Linked DNA regions of Ovis aries. The protein of the gene in region 2 interacts with the protein of the main gene of each other region in a pairwise test. Links are inferred from orthologs where the notes say so. Each region holds a gene or a part of one and is shown on either strand. Other genes may lie near its edges. The genes, in order: AP1G1, AP1B1, KIF13A and AP1M1.

What was found.
Region 1: the proteins of AP1B1 (region 2) and AP1G1 interact in a two-hybrid assay, tested with the Homo sapiens proteins (2 studies listed by BioGRID, with this or other methods). The link is inferred for Ovis aries from reciprocal best matches to the Homo sapiens genes AP1B1 and AP1G1.
Region 3: the proteins of AP1B1 (region 2) and KIF13A interact in binary tests that used the Homo sapiens proteins (3 or more experiments, as listed by UniProt). The link is inferred for Ovis aries from reciprocal best matches to the Homo sapiens genes AP1B1 and KIF13A.
Region 4: the proteins of AP1B1 (region 2) and AP1M1 interact in a two-hybrid assay, tested with the Homo sapiens proteins (2 studies listed by BioGRID, with this or other methods). The link is inferred for Ovis aries from reciprocal best matches to the Homo sapiens genes AP1B1 and AP1M1.

What each region holds. Positions count from the first base shown.
Region 1 is NC_056067.1:38,789,861-38,795,036, reverse strand, and holds the start of AP1G1 (AP-1 complex subunit gamma-1), read right to left. Parts: upstream 3,325-5,176; 5' UTR 2,890-3,324; exon of another isoform or gene 1-2,889. UniProt on the Homo sapiens protein: Subunit of clathrin-associated adaptor protein complex 1 that plays a role in protein sorting in the late-Golgi/trans-Golgi network (TGN) and/or endosomes.
Region 2 is NC_056070.1:68,659,658-68,664,725, forward strand, and holds the start of AP1B1 (AP-1 complex subunit beta-1), read right to left. Parts: upstream 3,034-5,068; 5' UTR 2,887-3,033; exon of another isoform or gene 2,824-2,886; intron 869-2,823; 5' UTR 819-868; intron 1-818. UniProt on the Homo sapiens protein: Subunit of clathrin-associated adaptor protein complex 1 that plays a role in protein sorting in the late-Golgi/trans-Golgi network (TGN) and/or endosomes.
Region 3 is NC_056073.1:38,941,739-38,946,121, reverse strand, and holds part of KIF13A (kinesin-like protein KIF13A), read right to left. Parts: intron 2,756-4,383; coding exon 2,542-2,755; intron 285-2,541; coding exon 122-284; intron 1-121. UniProt on the Homo sapiens protein: Plus end-directed microtubule-dependent motor protein involved in intracellular transport and regulating various processes such as mannose-6-phosphate receptor (M6PR) transport to the plasma membrane, endosomal sorting during melanosome biogenesis and cytokinesis.
Region 4 is NC_056058.1:6,572,854-6,576,665, reverse strand, and holds the end of AP1M1 (AP-1 complex subunit mu-1), read left to right. Parts: intron 1-982; coding exon 983-1,108; intron 1,109-1,835; coding exon 1,836-1,911; intron 1,912-2,081; coding exon 2,082-2,104; 3' UTR 2,105-2,917; downstream 2,918-3,812. UniProt on the Homo sapiens protein: Subunit of clathrin-associated adaptor protein complex 1 that plays a role in protein sorting in the trans-Golgi network (TGN) and endosomes.

The DNA.
Region 1 (5,176 bases), on a different chromosome or scaffold from region 2:
AAGAATTCGCCTGCAATGCAGGAGACTTGGGTTTGGTCCCTGGGTCGGGAAGATCCCCTGGAGAAGGGAATGGTTACCCACTCCAGTATTCTTGCCTGGAGAATTCCACAGACAGAGGAGCCTGGCGGGCTAGTTGATGGGGTAGCAAACAGTCGAACACTACTGAGCAACAAACACATAGCAACTGTAACATCATCCTGCATGAAAGAAACTGAACAAGTAACAAAAGGATGAAAGTCAAAATCAAGAACTGGAAACAATTCATAAAGGAAGACTGAAAGACAAGCACCTAAAACAGATAAAACAAGTTGCTGCAGGTTGAAAAAAGGTAATAGTTTTACACTTTCTGAAGCTGAATCCAAATTAGTTTTAAAGTTTTGATATCAATTACATCATGCTGTATACACAAAATTTTTAAATCCTCATCAAATGCGAATAAGGAGATTAAGCATTTTGATAATCTGTTTTGGTATGTGTTTTCCCAATTCCATTTTTTTAATTAAAAATAATCTTTTGGAAAATATTCCTTCAACTTTTTCAATCTGCATAGTATTATTACTAATCACATAAAAACATAAGTTTTTGTTTTTGCACACGACTAATCTCGACTCAAGACCACTTTTAAAAATAAATAGTATGATGAAATATCACCAAAACATTGCTGACAATTTTCGTACTTTATATTTTCACTCTAAAATTCATCTTCAAATCTAGAACTGCTGTCAGTGAAACAAATCAAAGAACAAGCAACTGCTCCAAAAGAAATTAAGGTTTCCTAAACAATGTTTATTTCAAGTATGGAACCCCAACAATCCCTTAGACCAAGTAGACATTCAAGTATGATCACTCGAAAGTGCACTAAAATAAACACTTATCATTTGCAAGGCAAAAGGATGCTTTCTCCAACTGCATGCAAACTACCCAAGAATGAATGACGTTTAAATAGCAGTACTTAATACCCTGAAATGAACTAAGTTAACACCCATCTGATAGCTCTCCCAATATTTAATATTGGGAGTATTTGATAGTGTAACTCAGAAATGAACATTTCAGTAGCAACTACAAGGGTATACTCAGTATATGAGTGCTGCTGTGTTTAGTCACTCAGTCGTGTCCAACTCTTTGCAACCCACCAGGCTCCTCTGCCCATGGGGATTCTCCAAGGCAAGAATACTGGAGTGGGTTGCCATTTCCTCCTCCAAGGAATCTTCCCAACCCAGGGATCGAACCCAGGTCTCCCGAATGGCGGGCAGATTCTTGACCATCTGAGCACCAGGGAAGCCCACATATATGAGTGAGGATTCCATTTATCTTGTTAGACAGCCCTTTAAACCAAAATGAGACTCCATGGCTTTAAAGTAAATATACAAACAGTAAATAAAACATTTTTGGAAAGTCTCCTGAAAACAAATACCAAGAACACTATTTACAATGAAACATTCTTGACTAGTACAGGAATTTATCTACCTGATAATAACCTGATAAGAATAATGCACTTATACAGGAATTAGGATTTCAAGTATTGAAAGATTTGGTCAAGTTCAAGTTATAAATTTAAGTTTCAGCAGTCACTAGGGTACCATCTCAAATAATTTACATCTCTCTTTTGCAGATGTGAAAACCCAGGCTGAGGTGAAACAGAGGTGACTCAGTCACACTCATCTAACTTGAATTATAGGAAATAATCAGTGAATTACAGTGAAATGCTTTTTATTCAAGTATACTATACTGCAAACATACCTCAAGAATAGAATGAAAGTGGTGAAATTATGGGTCTGGAGAGTCTATATTTTTAAAGCAAAGGTTAAAGCATATACAGTATGATAAGCATTATGGGGAACAGTAAAAGTGAATATCTAAAATTCAACTATCCCCAGAAAAATAACATACAAGAAGTCAATCCAAGTATTTTTCCGGAGTTAATCAGCGAAGAACACTACTGTACAAACCACTTGAAAGTTAAAATCACTAAGAAATCTTCACTCCTCTCTTCTGTTAACTAATCCCTACAGTATCTAAAAAAGGTTACTTTCCCTTCTACCAATGTCAGACTAAGATCCTTTTTCAGAGGCAGACTGCCCTGGGCAGGGATACACAGCATTAAGAAAAATATGTTAAGTGTCCAAAAGTACCCAGAAGCTACGTGTTCAGCCCAAGAAGGGATGAGAAAATACAAATGAGAAAATATTTGACAGCCTCTTCCTACCACCTTCCCCCCAAAAACCCTTTACTCAGCTTTATAAACACGTACTGTTGAAGCACACTCTTGAGCGAGTGGTTCGACGAATCTCCTACACCAAACCCTAACTGAGAAACACAACCAACGGTCCCGACTCTGTCAAGCCGCCAAGAAAATCGGGAGAATTATTAATAACTGATGCCTGCAGGATTAGGACTTTGAGAGAAGGGTAACCAATGCATTCACAGGTGAGTTTAAGAAAAAGACGGGGGGAACCCCAGAAAATTGGGAAAGAAGTTGGTTGGAAGGTTAGAGAGAGGCGAGGCCGACGTCCAGTTCAAAGAGAACGGCAATGCGGATGCAGACAACGATTAACTAACCGAGCATTTGGAAATACAGAAGAGAGTTTCACGAAAGACCTGACTAGGATGCAAGATACAAGAACACTGATACGTGGCAAACAGAAGACACGCGGAGGTGGGACCCGCCCCGCTAACCCCAGGCTCTCTCAATGAGTCCTCAAAGGAGGAGTGCAGCCTGAGAAAGTCAATGGGTGCAAGGAGGCCCGTACCGGCCGGGCAACGCCATAACACAGACGCAGCCGCGTGCGGAGCCTCCGGGTCTGAGGCCTCGGGGCTGGCCCTCAAGAAGTATGAACAACCCTTGTGCTCCCGGCCCCTCCTGGCCCAGTCTCTGTCCTCTCTTCTCACCCTCCACGATCTGGGACCGGACCCCTGGGATAGACAGGAAACTTCCGGCCGAGAGCTCCCGGCAGGCAAAGAGTAAAACAAGAAGTATTCTCTTCGCGCCGCGACTGACACTCACCGGCCCGAAACCTCGAATGAAACCAGCAGCTCCGGGGGCGGTGGCAGCAGTGGCAGCAGGAACCGAACATCCAAAATGGCGGCTCCCTCGGCCTCACCACCGCTACTGCAGGCGGAGGGATCTTAGGTGGGAAGGAGTTTTTAACTAACTTTGCACACTATCACAGAAACTTAGGGCCCTATCTCTCTCTGCTTGTCGGTCCCGCGTTCCCAGACTGCAACTTCTCTTGCTTCCCCTCTCCTATTATCCAAGAATTCGGACCCCACCGAGGACTATTTGCCAAGGAGGAGGTGACTGCTCCTGGAAGAGCGACGCAAAGCGTAGCAAGAATCGGGGCTGTCACTGATGACGCGAGACGCCGCTGCCGAGTCACCGCTGCGGAGAGTCTGAGCGAGAAAGATCCGGTGGACCCCAGAGCCCACGAACATTGGTTCCGCCTGCGGTGGGGTGGGAGCTGGGCTGCCAGGAAGTGGCGGGGCCACCTGAAAAGGGTGGGGCTAGCAAGGTAGCGGAGGAAATGGGGAGGAGAAGCAGGTAGAGGCGGAGAATACTGAGCCTGGCCGAGCTGGTCCTGATCCACCAGAACCCCAAATTCTTACCTATCACTTTTCAGACCTTAGCTTTCTGTGTAGGTTAACTTTAGGATCATGCTCCAAGTAGTCTTGGATTCTGAAGTTTTATGTCATCTTTGCAACACATTTTATAAAAATAGAGGATGTCACAGAAGAATGGATTTCAAGCACACTATCACCTGTCAACCTTTGGCATTGAACAAGACATTTAGATTCTCTGGGTCTCAGTTTCCTCATTGTAAAAAGAGAAAATTTGTGTTCAGTTCAGTCGCTCAGTTGTGTCCGACTCCGTGACCCCATGAATTGCAGCACCCCAGGCCTCCCTGTCCATCACCAATTCCTGGAGTTCACTCAGACTCACGTCCGTGGAGTCAGTGATGCCATCCAGCCATCTCATCCTCTGTCGTCCCCTTCTCTTCCTGCTCCCAATCCCTCCCAGCATCAGTCTTTTCCAATGAGTCAACTTTTCGCATGAGGTGGTCAAAGTACCAGAGTTTCAGCTTTAACATCATTCCTTCCAAAGAACACCCAGGGCTGATCTCCCTTAGAATGGACTGGTTGGATCTCCTTGCAGTCCAAGGGACTTCAAGAGTCTTCTCCAACACCACAGTTCAAAAGCATCACTTCTTTGGTGCTCAGCTTTCTTCACAGTCCAACTCTCACATCCATACATGACCACCGGAAAAACCATAGCCTTGACTAGATGGACATTTGTTGGCAAAGTCATGTCTCTGCTTTTTAATATGTTGTCTAGGTTGGTCATAACTTTCCTTCCAAGGAGTAAGTGTCTTTTAATTTCATGGCTGCAATCAACATCTGCAGTGATTTTGGAGCCCCCAAAAATAAAGTCTGACACTGTTTCCGCTGTTTCCCCATCTATTTCCCATGAAGTGATGGGACCGGATGCCACGATCTTCATTTTCTGAATGTTGAGCATTAAGCCAACCTTTTCACTCTCCTCTTTCACTTTCATCAAGAGCTTTTTAGTTCCTTTTCACCTTCTGCCATAAGGGTGATGTCATTTGCATGTCTGAGGTTATTGATATTTCTCCCGGCAATCTTGATTCCAGCTTGTGTTTCTTCCAGCCCAGAGTTTCTCATGATGTACTCTGCATATAAGTTAAATAAGCAGGGTGACAATATACAGCCTTGATGTACTCCTTTTCCTATTTGGAACCAGTCTGTTGTTCCATGTCCAGTTCTAACTGTTGCTTCCTGACCTGCATATAGGTTTCTCAAGAGGCAGGTCAAGTGGTCTGGTATTCCCATCTCTTTCAGAATTTTCCACAGTTTATTGTGATCCACACAGTAGCGGCTGTGCTTTGCTGGAACAGCCGTGAAGAGATACCCCAAGTCCAAGGTAAGAAAACCCAAGTAAGACGGTAGGTGTTTTGAGAGGGCATCACTGAAACCATAATCACAGAAAACTAGTCAATGTAATCACATGGACCACAGCCTTGTCTAACTCAGTGAAACTAAGCCATGCCGTGTGGGGCCACCCAAGACAGGCAGGTCATGGTGTAGAGGTCTGACAGAGCATGGTCCACTGGAGAAGGGAATGGCAAACCCCTTCAGTATTCTTGCCTTGAGAACCCCATGA
Region 2 (5,068 bases):
TCAGAAGGCCGTGCAGGCCAGGCCAAGAAATGCGAGCTTCAGCCAAGAGCAAGGAGGGTCCGCGGATGGACACTCAAGTAGAACTGTTTAAAAAATATGTATTTATTTAGTCGTACTGGGTCTCAGCTGCAGCACATGGGATCCTTTGTTGCGACCCACGGACTCTCTAGTTGTGGAGTGTGGGCCTGGTTGCTCTGCGGCATGTGGGATCTTAGTTCCCTGACCAGGGATCGAACCCAAGTCCCCTGCATTGCAAGGCAAATTCGTGACCACTAGGCAACCAGGGAAGTCCCTTCAAGTAGAATTATTTTTAAAAGATTCCCCACTTGTCTAATTAATATTTTCTCTCTGGAGCTGTTCATTCCTCTCTGTGTGGAGAGAAAAAGAACACAAAAATCATTCCTGGGCTGTGAAAATTTATCAGTGATCTATCTTAGGCAAAAAGACCTATTCAGAAAAAGAAATACCTGCAAGTAACAGAAGCCCCTTTGATTTCTGGAAACACATTGGAGCTCAAAACTCATAACCAAGCCATGCTGGCTCACCATTAGCACATCACACTTTGGTGCCAAGAATGGGGGTTTTCGGGAAGTAAGCAAGCAAGTCATGCAACAGCTTCAAGGATAACTAGAGAAAGATGAAAGTCCAAGCCCAGAGCTAGCAGGATCAACAGATTGAACTTGTTCTGAAACACTTTAAGGAAGTGAAACAAGAAGGATGGGAGAGGTCCTGTGTACACAAAGGACTCTGCAGAGAGAAGTAACACCCCCAAAACCAGCCCCCAGGAAACATCAACTGCCTAGGGTCAAGGCACTCACCACAACAGACTCTGCACAAAGTCCTTGTCCAGCTTCCACACGAGTCACTGCTGAGGGGGAGGTGAAGGTGGTGGTATTATTGTAGAGCTGAGGGATAGGTGGCTCTGGGTCACGCTACCAAGAAGCTGCTGATCTGGGGGGAGAATCCACGGCTGACAGATGGGGGGACAAGGAAGGCTCTTTCCACCACACCACTGAGCTCTCCAAGTCACTCAGGTGAAGCCTCTACTCAAACTACACTCAACAGTTAAACTTTATACAAAGTCTGAGGGACCTGAGTCTTTGAACACTAGTGAAGCCACTCTTCATGAAGCTGCCCTGAGGGGTTGAAGGAGCCTGGTGGGCTCAACTCAGGACAGGGAGCCAGACACTCTGAGCGCTGCTCCTGTTCCTACCATCTGTGACGAGTCACTTTATCTCAAATCCTCCCTTGGAAGGATGGGGATCAGGTGACAATATTAAGTTTCTGTGAATTCAATGGAACTAGGAAAACAGACAGTGGAGTTTAAAAACAGGTACTGCACAGTAATATTTATACCTCAGCTTTCTTTATAAGTGCGTGGAAATCCTCACAGGTTCACTAAGGCTTGTAAAACCCCGGAGTGTGTAGGAAGTCAGCAGGTCTGTGCTGCTATCAGGGAAACTGAAGCCGAACTGCAGCACGTGAATGTCTGCAACCGAGTAAAGCTCAGACTCACAAGACCTAATCCTCTGGCCATGAAACCACCTCACTGTCTCCCAGGCAAGATGTGTGTTCTCCAGTCAAGAAGGCATGGGACCTGCACTTTTCTCAGAGACTCAGGTCCTTGCCTTGGGAATGCTCTTCAAGAACCTAGGGCCAAAAGATACCCTAGGGGTCATGTGGTTCCTCCCCTTACTTGAAAAAGAATGCAGCTTGACCACTCTCAAGAGAGGTGCAGCATATTCTTAAATTCATTGCATGGCTAGACTGTTTTATGTCTCGCAGTTCTCAACAGTTGGGAAAAAGGCCCCTTCTCACCCTGAACAGAAATCAGTTATAGCAATGGCCTAATTTCATCCTAAAGAAAGGGAATCAAATGCTCCTTAGGAAGGTAGATGAGAAGAAAGCAAGCTACATCTCTAAATGCTATTGTTCAGTCGCTCAGTCATGTCCAACTCTGCGACCCCATGGACTGCAGCCCACCAGGCTCCGCTGTCCATGGGATTCTCCAGGCAAGAATACTGGAGTGGGTTGCCATTTCCTTCTCCAGGGAAATATATCTTTATATAGATGCAAATAAATTTAATGGCGGCTAAAGATATTAAACAGCCCCTAAATGCCAACCTTGCTTCAGTCTCAGCACGCTGCAGGTCCCTGCGAGCCCAGGTAGGAACCCTGGCATTCATCCATACTACTCGATTGACCTTACAGGTGTGATTTAACTTTTCTGTGCCTCAGTTTCTTCGTGGATAAAATGGGGATAATAATAGTAGCTACCTCACCAAGATTGCTGGGAAGTTTAAATGCGGCATTCTAAGCACGGTGCCTGCACACAGCTCAATAACCAGCAGCTAGCATTCCCATCAGTAGTTCTGGCGTTATTACAGGGGTCCCCAGTTACCTCGTCTGTGAGGCGCCTAGGGACAGACCAATCCTCTGTTTAACCCCACCCTAGAGGCGGTGGCGCCAGGCCGTTTCATATTTTTTTTTCTGTTTTTGAACCTTGGCAAAGAGATAAGGCCCTTAACGACAAGGAGGCCTCAGGACAGCCACGGCGCTGAGTGTGCAGGGGGAACCAAGACCCGAAGAGAAGTTTCCTGTCAGGCCAGGCACAAGCTCCCCTGGGCCTAAGTCTAGGAGTCTCTACGGGAGGGCGCCCCGGCAGGGACTGCGGACCTGGGACGGCTGGGGTGCACGCCGGCGGCCAAGGGGGCGCGAATGAATGAACCCGCAGCCCTTCTGCCTCCTCCCGTCCTGGGAAGCCACTCTAGACCCTCCAGCGCCCTGTACTCTCCGTGACCTTTGACCCCAGAAATCCCTCACCTCAGACTCCCGACTCCCCGCCCCACTTCTTCTCTGGCCTCGCCAGGCTCCCCGCTTCCTCACCCGCAGGTCCGAAAGGCTCCTGACGCCACGGCGCGGCTCGACGCGACAGGAAAATGTCCGCGGCCTTGTCCTCCCGCTCTCCCGGTGCGCCCGCGCCGCCGGACGCTCGGAGCCCCGCGGCTGTCACCTGCCAGGCGGAAGTGAGCTGCCCGCGCGCGGGCACTTCCGGTGGACGCACAGGCTGGGGGCGGGGTCAAGGGTACAACCCGGGCGGGGGCGGTGGCAGCGAGGCGGGGCCAGGGGGCGGGGCGTCGGAGTTAACTCCGCCCTCGACACGTTGCTGCTCCGCCAAGCAAAAAATACCACAAGATGGTTGGATAGCATCACCGACTCAATGGACATGAGTTTGAGTAAACTCCGGGAGTTGGTGATGGACAGGGAGGCCTGGCGTGCTGCAGTCCATGGGGTCGCAAAGAGTCGAACACGACTGAGCGACTGAACTGAGCTGAACTGAGCCTATATAACATGACGGAGATGGAGAAGATCATAGAGACTTTGAGGTCTATTTTTCTTTGTTTTGAGGTCAGCTTCGCTTCTGTGTTACAAACAGGAAAACTCAGTCTCTGAGAGGCGCCAGTGTTGCTCAAGATCACTTACCTGTGAAGAGAAGAGTTAAACTAGAGCTGTAAGTCTAACCTACCGCTTGAAGCAGCCCTTCGGGGAATTCCGCGTAAACCTCACACCTCCAAGGAGAACTTAAAAGTTCCATTTCCCGTTTTGCTGGGTCGGCCAGGCCAGGGTTGCTATAGGTATCTCACTCCCAGCTCTGGTATTATTAACTTTCTCCTCCTCCTAGATAATTTCTGATCATCTTCTTAAAAACATCTAAAATAATATTTGCATTATGGAAATATACGAGTAAGCAAAAGGCTATGTAAAAAATCCTGCAATCCTGCCACCCTGAGACAATAATTTTTAAGATTTTGGTGAATATCCTTCCAGACTCGATATATCCATTCAGTATTTTTAATTCACCAAGATATTGGTGAATTGGTGAATTATTGTTTCCCAAAACAATAAATACATTTCTACTTGGTGTTTTACAATATCTGCATGGAATTGCGCAGTATGAACGGCACCACTGTTCTCCGAAACAGTCCCCTACAGTTGTGCACTTTATCACTAGTCTTTTAATATTATAAAATGTATAATATTATATTATACATTTTATATATTTATGTATATATAAATATATTTACTTATATATTATATATAATTATAATACATAATACATTTATTTATTCTACATTATGTACAATATATATTATGTATTATAAATTATACTATATTATATATAATATATAAATAATATATTAGAAATATAATATATAATATATAAATATATAATATGTGTTATATATAAACACTGAACTGATGCATATATATGTCTGTATGTATTTTATATATAATAATCATATATTATAATATAATATATAAAGTATATAACATTATATATAATATATTATAATATATTAATATAACATGTATTTTATATGCATATATATGTATGTATATATCTATATATGCGTATATAATATTAATTTATATATTTAAAATTGTATTATATGTTATATATAATATAATACATATCATCAGTTCAGTTCAGTTGCTCAGTCGTGTCCGACTCTTTGCGATCCCATGAATCGCAGCACGCCAGGCCTCCCTGTCCATCACCATCTCCCGGAGTTCACTCAGACTCATGTTCATCAAGTCAGTGATGCCATCCAACCATCTCATCCTCTGCCGTCCCCTTCTCCTCCTGCCCCCAATCCCTCCCAGCATCACGGTCTTTTCCAATGAGTCAACTCTTCGCATGAGGTGGCCAAAGTACTGGAGTTTCAGCTTTAGCATCATTTCTTCCAAAGAAATTCCAGGGCTGATCTCCTTCAGAATGGACTGGTTGGATCTCCTTGCAGTCCAACGGACTCTCAAGAGTCTTCTCCAACACCACAGTTCAAAAGCATCAATTCTTCGGCGCTCTGCTTTCTTCACAGTCCAACTCTCACATCCGTACATGACCACAGGAAAAACCATAGCCTTGACAAGATGGACCTTTGTTGGCAAAGTAATATCTTTGCTTTTTAATATGTTATCTAGGTTGGTCATAACTTTCCTTCCAAGGAGTAAGCGTCTTTTAATTTCATGGCTGCAGTCACCATCTGCAGTGATTTTGGGAGCCCAA
Region 3 (4,383 bases), on a different chromosome or scaffold from region 2:
AAACCCTCCAGCTCACATCAGGGTCTCTTCACAGATGTTCTGCGGACGTCAAGGTGATGTTCTACCTCTCAGAAGCTACTGCTGCACCTCTTGCCCTCCTCCCCTTTGAGAGCATTCTTACCTTCCTGTTGGCACTGAGGTTCGCAGCAGGGATCTGCAGAGTCACCTGGTAGTCGGTGAGCTTGCTCATCTCCTCGGCTAAGAAGTTTGCCTCTCTCACCAGGGTGTTGGCTTTCACCAGCTGCTCCCGCAGTTTTGCCAAACTTTGGCGAAAGAGTTCATCCCTGCAAGCAGCAGAGAAGGAAGTGAGCACATCCGGAAGAAAACTGCAATCCCGTTTTCCAAGTGAGTCATACTGTTAGAAAGTAGTTAAGAATCTCCTCTCAGACAATTATCTTTCAACCTATTTTTGCCAATTCACCTCTTATCCTTCCCTCTTCCCACTGGGGTTCCATGGGTTATCCACTGGTAACCAGGGATGAGAAGCAAATGTATGGGGTAACTTAACTTCCAACCATGTTTTAAATTCTATAATATTTGAAAAAGAATAGATTTTGATATGAAAATGCAAAAAAAAAAAAAAAAAGCCCAATAAAACATTCCTTTAGGAAAAAGAAATCATTATGACTTTTGTAAACTTTAGAGTGGAGGAGATCTAGAATAAGGAGAAAGTGTTTTATGTGATTTCTTCACTTGGTAAATGTGAGAAGTATGTACTTCTGGGGCAGCAGAAGTTTGCTTTTCAACTCTAAATGATAGTGCTTCTTGATAAATGTGTCTCTAACATCCTAACTAGATCCAAACCCTATTACATGTTTTCCCGGAGCCACATCTTTTGCCTCCGTAGTCTTTGTCATGTAGCTCAGCTGATAAGAATCCGCCTGCAATGCAGGAGACCCTGGTTCGATTCCTGGGATGGGAAGATCCGCTGGAGAAGAGATAGGCTACTCACTCCAGTAGTCTTGGGCTTCCCTGGTGGCTCAGCTGGTAAAGAATCTACCTGCAATGCGGGAGACCTGGGTTCGATCCCTGGGTTGGGAAGATCCCCTGGAGAAGGGAATGGCTACCCAGTCCAGTATTCTGGCCTGGAGAATTCCATGGTCTGTTCCATGGGGTCGCAAAGAGTCAGACATGACTGAGTGACTTTCATTTTCAGTCTTCATCATAGTTACAATTTTTCACTTATTTGTATAATTATTTGACTAATAACATCCATCTCCCCTATGAAGCTTTAGTAAGCACCCCTAGAGCAGGGGCCATGTCTTTTTTGCTTGTCACTACACTTAATTCCTGGCCAAGTACATGGCCCATCACAGAATATGCAAAAATTACCCACTGAACAAAAGAAAGAGTATAGCTGACCCTTGAACAACATGAGTTTGAACCGCACAGGTCTGCTTAGATATGGAATTTTTTCTCTGTGACCCATGGTTGGTTGAATCTGTGGATGTGGAATGTAGATATCAAGGGCCAACTGCAAAGTTACACTCGGATTTTCTGTAGCATAGAGTGTCGACACGCAATAAATGCTTAAGAAATGTCCGGTGCTATTATTATTACAACAGAGGAGTTATTAATGGACTGTCAACAAAGCCTGGCCTTTTCATTTACTGAAAGCATGACTGATAGGGTATTTCAATTGATTGAAATAATATTTCCCATGACTTGGTGCTGTTGGGATCATAAAAAAGCATCATTCCTAGACCGTGGCAAGAATACAACAGAGCTTTGTAATAATTTACTATCTTTACCGTTGTTACCATTTCCTCCACTGCTGCCTCAGTTCTGATACAAATATTTTAAAGTTGTAAATTTAAAAAATTCACAGATTTCTTAACATTAAAACTGCATTTACATTGATTCCAAAGTAAGAGAAATAACAGAACAAGAAATGCTTTTTATGCTTTGAGTGAGTGAAAGTCGCTCAGTCATGTCCAATTCTTTGGGACCCCATGGACTGTAGCTCACCAGGCTCCTCTGTCCATGGATTTCTCAGGCAAGAATACTGGAATGGGTTGCCATTTCCTTCTCCAGAGGATCTTCTGGACCCAGGGATCAAACCCAGGTATTCTGCATTGCAGGCGGATTCTTTACCGTCAAAGACACCAGGGAAGCATGCTTTTATGCTTTAGAACTATTCAATTATTCTTTACTTCAGAACGAAACTGTGATATTCTAACTTGGCACCATTTTTACTGAAGGGTAAGGGGGCAGGTGTAATCTTTAACAACTGATGTCACAGTAAATATACTTGAAAGTGAAAAAGTGAAGTCTCTCAGTTGTATCCGACTCTTTCAGATCCCATGGACTGTAGCCCGCTGGGCTCCTCCATCCATGGGATTTTCCAGGCAAGAAGACTGGAGCGGGGTGCCATTTCCTTCTCCAGGGGGAACTTCCTTGAAAGACAAGGCGACTTCTAACAATTCAGACATGGAAGTAAGATTTCCCTCTTTGCTAGGTTTGTCCCCGTTTGACGTGCCTTACAACGGCCTCCCCCGAGGCCCCGAGGCCTTGCCCCAGGCCCCCGGGTCCCCTTCCTACCTCTCCTCGGCCCACTGGGTCACCTTCTGCTGCGCTGTCTGGCTGCTGTAGGCCAGGCGGTCGGGGCCGCTGATCTGGGGCTGCCTCTCCGGGGACAGCTGCTGGCGGAGCTGCTCCAGCTCCCGCTCGTACATGAGTCGCTGCTCCTCGAGGGCGCTTCGCTTTTCTTCCAGGTACTGTTTCTCCAGGACCTGCACCACGTTCTGAACTGGGTCTGGTGAGCCAAGAGACAAGGCAAGGGGCTCTTCAGCAGTGACTCAGACAGGCAGCGCCCCCCAACCCCCAGCGAGGCTTCTAACAAGAACCATCTCGTCCCCCAGATGGAGCCCTTCAGCGCGCTTGTCTGTGAGCGGCCGGCCGGGCCCAGTCAGGTGGAATTCTCTCCATTTCCTTTTTCTTAACATTTCAGATTAAACACCTTGTATGGAAACACTCCTCACATCTATTATTACGTTCTTCAATTTGATGAGCTCGCCCTGATGTGTAGATAGGTGGCTCAACTACAAAAAGAAGAAGGTAGAGGAGAAAGGGATGGTATTCTATCCACCGAGAAGAAAGACTCGATGAAATCTAAGGTGATTTCAAAGACAGAGCCACACAAGATTTGATTTTATGTCGTCACTTTTTAGGTGCATTTACCATTGGTCTTAGTTGACAAAGGGTTTATAGTAGTTCCCACTGACAAACCCAATGACAAAGGGCTTATAGTTCCAATATGGCTAAAAATTTGTTTCTCCTGAATTCCTCTAATGTGGGAGGAAACTTACAGATCACAGCATCTGTTTGAAAATATGAATTGAGTATATGGTCTGCCAATTTCTCAGGTGTTAATAGCCAAGAAAGCAATTCACTTACAAAAACAGAAGTCTACTTCTGCTTTTTTGCTTTTGCAGATTGAAAGATGACCAACAGACATGTCAGTGAACAGGTATTAGAAATACTAACAGATCTTGTTTAATGGAGCCCTGACTATGACTAGGGGTGGTTATGGTGTAGGTAGGACTCAATCCTAAAGAGCTAATTGGTTGTCCCAGGACATTAGCTCGGTAACAGCTGATGACCTGGATGCAGTGGACAAAAACTAAGGAAAGCACAGACCACGTGTACAAAAGAGAAAGCTATGACACATCCAAGTGAGGAGGCCGTAATAGGGAAACAGTATGTTAGACAATCTGGATGGTAAACAAAGAAACTTACCATAACGGTAAATATTTCCTTGAAGTACATAAGACCTAGGAGATTTACTTGTATTCTCAGACTAGCCTGCGATTTACGCACTTGCCTATTATTCAGTGCAGTGTCCTATTTCTACAAATTGAGTCTCATTTTAATTTCTGGGATAAGAGAAGGAAATTAAGAGGAATCTTCACATCACCTGATGATGGATACCGACTGACTAGACCAGAAGACCCTATCAATTTGTGAAATAAGCATTCATATTTTACTGGTTTTCTATATGAGATGAAGGGGAAAAAATAGCACTTTAGCTTAAAAAAGGTTAAAGAATACAAAACAGAGTAAAAGTAATTTTAAAAATCACTAGATATGCACAGTACAGGTGAGCTGTTTTAATAAAAATGATGACCACAACAGCAATAATAATGCTGCTATCTGTTGGCTTATGTCTCAGAGTAGAGGCACTATATGCTTCGCATGCATCATCTCATGAAAGCCTTGCAACAAACCTAGGGGTGGGCAGCATTCCCATTTTAAAGAGGAGATGACTGGAGCTCAGAAAAGTTAAGTGGCCAACCTAAGATGGCACAGCTAATAAGCAAAGCAACAGAGCCGGGTTTTGAACTCAGACCAGAATTAATTATCTGGGGTAGGAAACAAACTTAG
Region 4 (3,812 bases), on a different chromosome or scaffold from region 2:
ATCTTCACTGAGCACACAGCACCAAGTCAGGCAGAGTCCACACGCCTGCACTGATGAGCAGATCCTGACCTCTCACTTCATCCCTGAAAGGGGAGGGTGAGCACAGCACTGGAGAGGCAGAGCTCTGCGCTGCTCTGCCGAGGCCGTGCAGAGGCAGCCCTGGTCAGCAGTGACTCCTGTTTCCAAAGGCCTGAGGATCAAAACCCTCCGTGTCCTGGTGTGATGAGAGCTGCATTTCCTACTGCTCTCTGCAGTTCTGTGTTACTCACCAGGCACTGGGACAACCAGGCCAGGACTCCTGACCCCTCATGGCTGAGAGTTCAGTCGCTCAGTCGTGTCCGATTCTTTGCTACCCTGTGGACTGTAGCCTGCCAAGCTCCCCTGTCCATGGGATTTCCCAGGCAAGAATACTGGAGTGGGTGGCCGTTTCCTCCTCCAGGGGATCTTCCTGACCCAGGGATCGAACCAGCATCTCCTGCATTGGCAGGTGGATTCTTTACCACTGCACCAGCAGGGCAGCCATTCCTTCCCCCGCTACAAGTCCCAGCTCTGGAGTCCGCTTCCAGGGCCAGAGCCTTTCCCTTCCAGGGGGAGACCTAGGGCCAGCTCGTCAGTCCCAGGCAGCCCTGTCGCCCCGTGCCAGCGCTCGCTCTTCCTCTCCCTCCTTCCTCCCCAAGGCCTAGTGTTCTTCTTTTCCTCGACGCAACTAGGCTTCTGTGCCTGGGAACTTGTAGCAGTTTCTCTTCATCCTCAGAATTAGAGGATGAATTTTCCCTAGCGGGGCTGGTGTGGGCAGCCCAGGAGGCTTAGAGGATAAGGTAAGTGTGAGTGTGTTGCAGGAGCCGAGGCCCAGGGTGGCCACAGACCGTGCAGGAAGGGACTCGTTGGCCAGGCCCTCAGCCTGGCATTCTCCAGGGGCAGCTGTTGGATGGACCTGCCAGGGCCTCCGCCTGACCATCTCCTCTGTGGTCTGCTCCCGCAGGGCGGCAAGGAGTACCTGATGCGGGCCCACTTTGGCCTGCCCAGCGTGGAGGCAGAGGACAAGGAGGGCAAGCCCCCGATCAGCGTCAAGTTCGAGATCCCCTACTTCACTACCTCTGGCATCCAGGCACGTGCAACCAGGGCAGCCGGGGCCCCGGGGCAGACATGGACAGGCCCAGCGGGGCCTCTCAGGGGCCAGGCACCAGTCCAGGCTCAGAGGGTTGAAGGTGACAGACACGAGTGCAGCCAGTTAGCGAAGGGTGCTAGCTGACTCGTCCCAGCACTCCAAGCTGCTCCCCAGCCCTGCCCATCTCCGTGGGCGCCCTGCCCATCTCCGTGGCCGCCCTGCCCGTCTCCGTGGCCGCCCTGCCCGTCTCCGTGGGCGCCCTGCCCGTCTCCGTGGGCGCCCTGCCCGTCTCCGTGGGCGCCCTGCCCGTCTCCGTGGGCAGCCTGGCCCTGATGGAAAGAGGCCTGCAGTGGTCTGCTCACACCTGACCTGTGCTCCAGGCTCAGAGATGCATTCAGCCCCCAAAACTAATGTCCACACACTTGCCGCTGTGGGGTCCATTTTCCTGGCACCTCCACGGAAGCCCTGTATGGGGCAGAAAACCCTGGGATTGACCCCTTCTCTAGGAATCTGCTAGAGGGTCGTGCCTGCGAGTGCACATCTGGCTCTTGCCGCACCTTCTAGAAGCATCTCCACCCTCCCCCGGCCTGAGTGTGAAATAGACTAATGTGCTTCGCCCTCTCCCTCGCCCTCTTGGTCTCAGCCCAGCCCCAGGAGGAGTGGCTGGGTGGGCAGCCAGGAGTGGGGCCGCGTGTGCATGCTTAGGGCCCTGATGCCTGTGCCGCAGGTGCGTTACCTGAAGATCATCGAGAAGAGTGGCTACCAGGCCTTACCGTGGGTTCGCTACATCACTCAGAACGGAGGTGCGTGCGACCCGCCCTAGGGGCAGGGGGGGATTGCTGAAAAGGCCCCTGGTGGGCGTGCCTCTGTCCCCAGGGTGGTGCTCAGGGAGCAACCTCAGGGTCAGGGCAGGTGGGGCGGCCCCTCCTCCAGGGTCAGAGCAGACAATGGACGCCCCCCTCCCTCTTTGTAGATTACCAGCTCCGGACCCAGTGAGCAGCCGTGGTGGCCCACCCTCCCAGCCCGGAGGCTCCCGGTGGAAGCGCCTGCCCAGCCTGCTGGAGGGAGGGGCTCCCCTGGACCCTGGCGCCCCTCCAGGCTCCACCCAGGAGCCCCTCCTCCCAGGTGCACCTGCTCTGCCGCCGCCACTCTCACCTCCCAAGTCCCCTTTTCCCAGAAGAGGCTCATCTTCAAGAGGTCTTGTCTCTCAGTCCCTGAGTCAGTTTAGGGAGAAGGAAAGGCATCTTTCCCTCCAGAGGTCAAATACAGCCTTCTGTGCTGTTCCGCTCCCGGTCACAGAAAGAGTGGGAAGCACCGCCCGGGCCGCGCTCTGGCCAGGCTGGCAGGGCTGCCCTCGTGCTGCCACTCTGTTGGATGCCGTGGGTTTATCGAGCATTCCTAGATTTTGTCTCCGGCCGTCGCTGTGTATGTGATCCTCGCTGTCTGTGCCTCCCTCCCCCGTCCTGAAGCTCTCAGGCAGCACTTAGCGAGGACAGGCTTCCCCTTCCTCGCCCTCCTCCCCAGTGAGGCTGACACCGGTTTGCCCTCTCAGCACCTGGCGTTTCGACTAGAGGCTCCTGGTCTGGAGCTTTGAATAGAGACGCCTTCTCAGGGCCAGCCCGTGCCACATGATGCTGTCACTCAGCCACATCAGTGTTTGTCCCGCCAGGGGAAGAGGGGTCCAGCGCGGGCCCCCAGCCTCAGAGGGTGGGGGTCCCAGGCCATCCCCATCTGTGCTTGGACACCGCCGCCCCCAACCCTGTCCATGTTTGTGCCATGAGTACATTAAACTCCATCGGTTAAACATGCCTTCCGTCTGGTACAGCGTTGTGCTGACTCCTGGGTGCCCAGGAGAGGGGTAGGCGCACACCAACCTGAGTGGGGCACCAGTCCCTGGGGCCCCTATGTCCCCTGGGGAAGACGGGACCAGGCAATGAGCAAGCAGAGCCATTGCCCAGGGGCCTCCCAGAGGGGCTGCAGAGGGGAGGGCTCACGGGCAAACGTTTCCGTCCCGTCTGAGATGACCGTCACAGCCCTCGGCCCTCGGGCCACCAGCAGCCTGCTCCCCTCCGCAGCCCAGTGGGCTTCCTCAAGAGTGTGGTCCTGCTGCCAGCAGCATCAGTGTCCCCCCGCACGTGCAGGCTCACAGGCGCCCTCCTTTACCCGCCGTGGCAGTCTCTGGAGGTGGGGCCAGGAGACCGGCTAACAGGCTCTGCATGTGATTCATACGTGCCCTGGAGTCTGAGGACCGCGGCCTGGCGCCCCCTCCACAGGGGGGTCTCGGCAGGGCCGTGGGCAGAAGGCAGCTTGTCTGCCCACTGCAGTCACAGGCCTGCCCCCTGCTGCCTGCAGGGGCTGTGTCTCCCTTTCCCTCTCCCGTATCACCCAGCCCCGCCTTGGAGGTCTATTGGGCACCAACCCAAGTGGAGTCTTGATCATCTACCACATGGCAGAAAGAACGCTGCCCTGGCCCAGGGCTCAGGCCAAAGCCCTTATAGGCACCCTGATGCCCCACCCCTCACTGCCATGCCCGCATCTGCAGCAAGCCCTGGCGGCCCCCTCCAGGAGACACTGGGGAGCCACAGCGTACAAAGAGACAGTGGCCAGAATTTCCCCAGATGAGTGAAAATCTTTAAATTCTCAGATTCAGGAAACCAGTGAGCCCAAATCAGGATCAATAAACCTAAGTCTATAACTAAAAAAC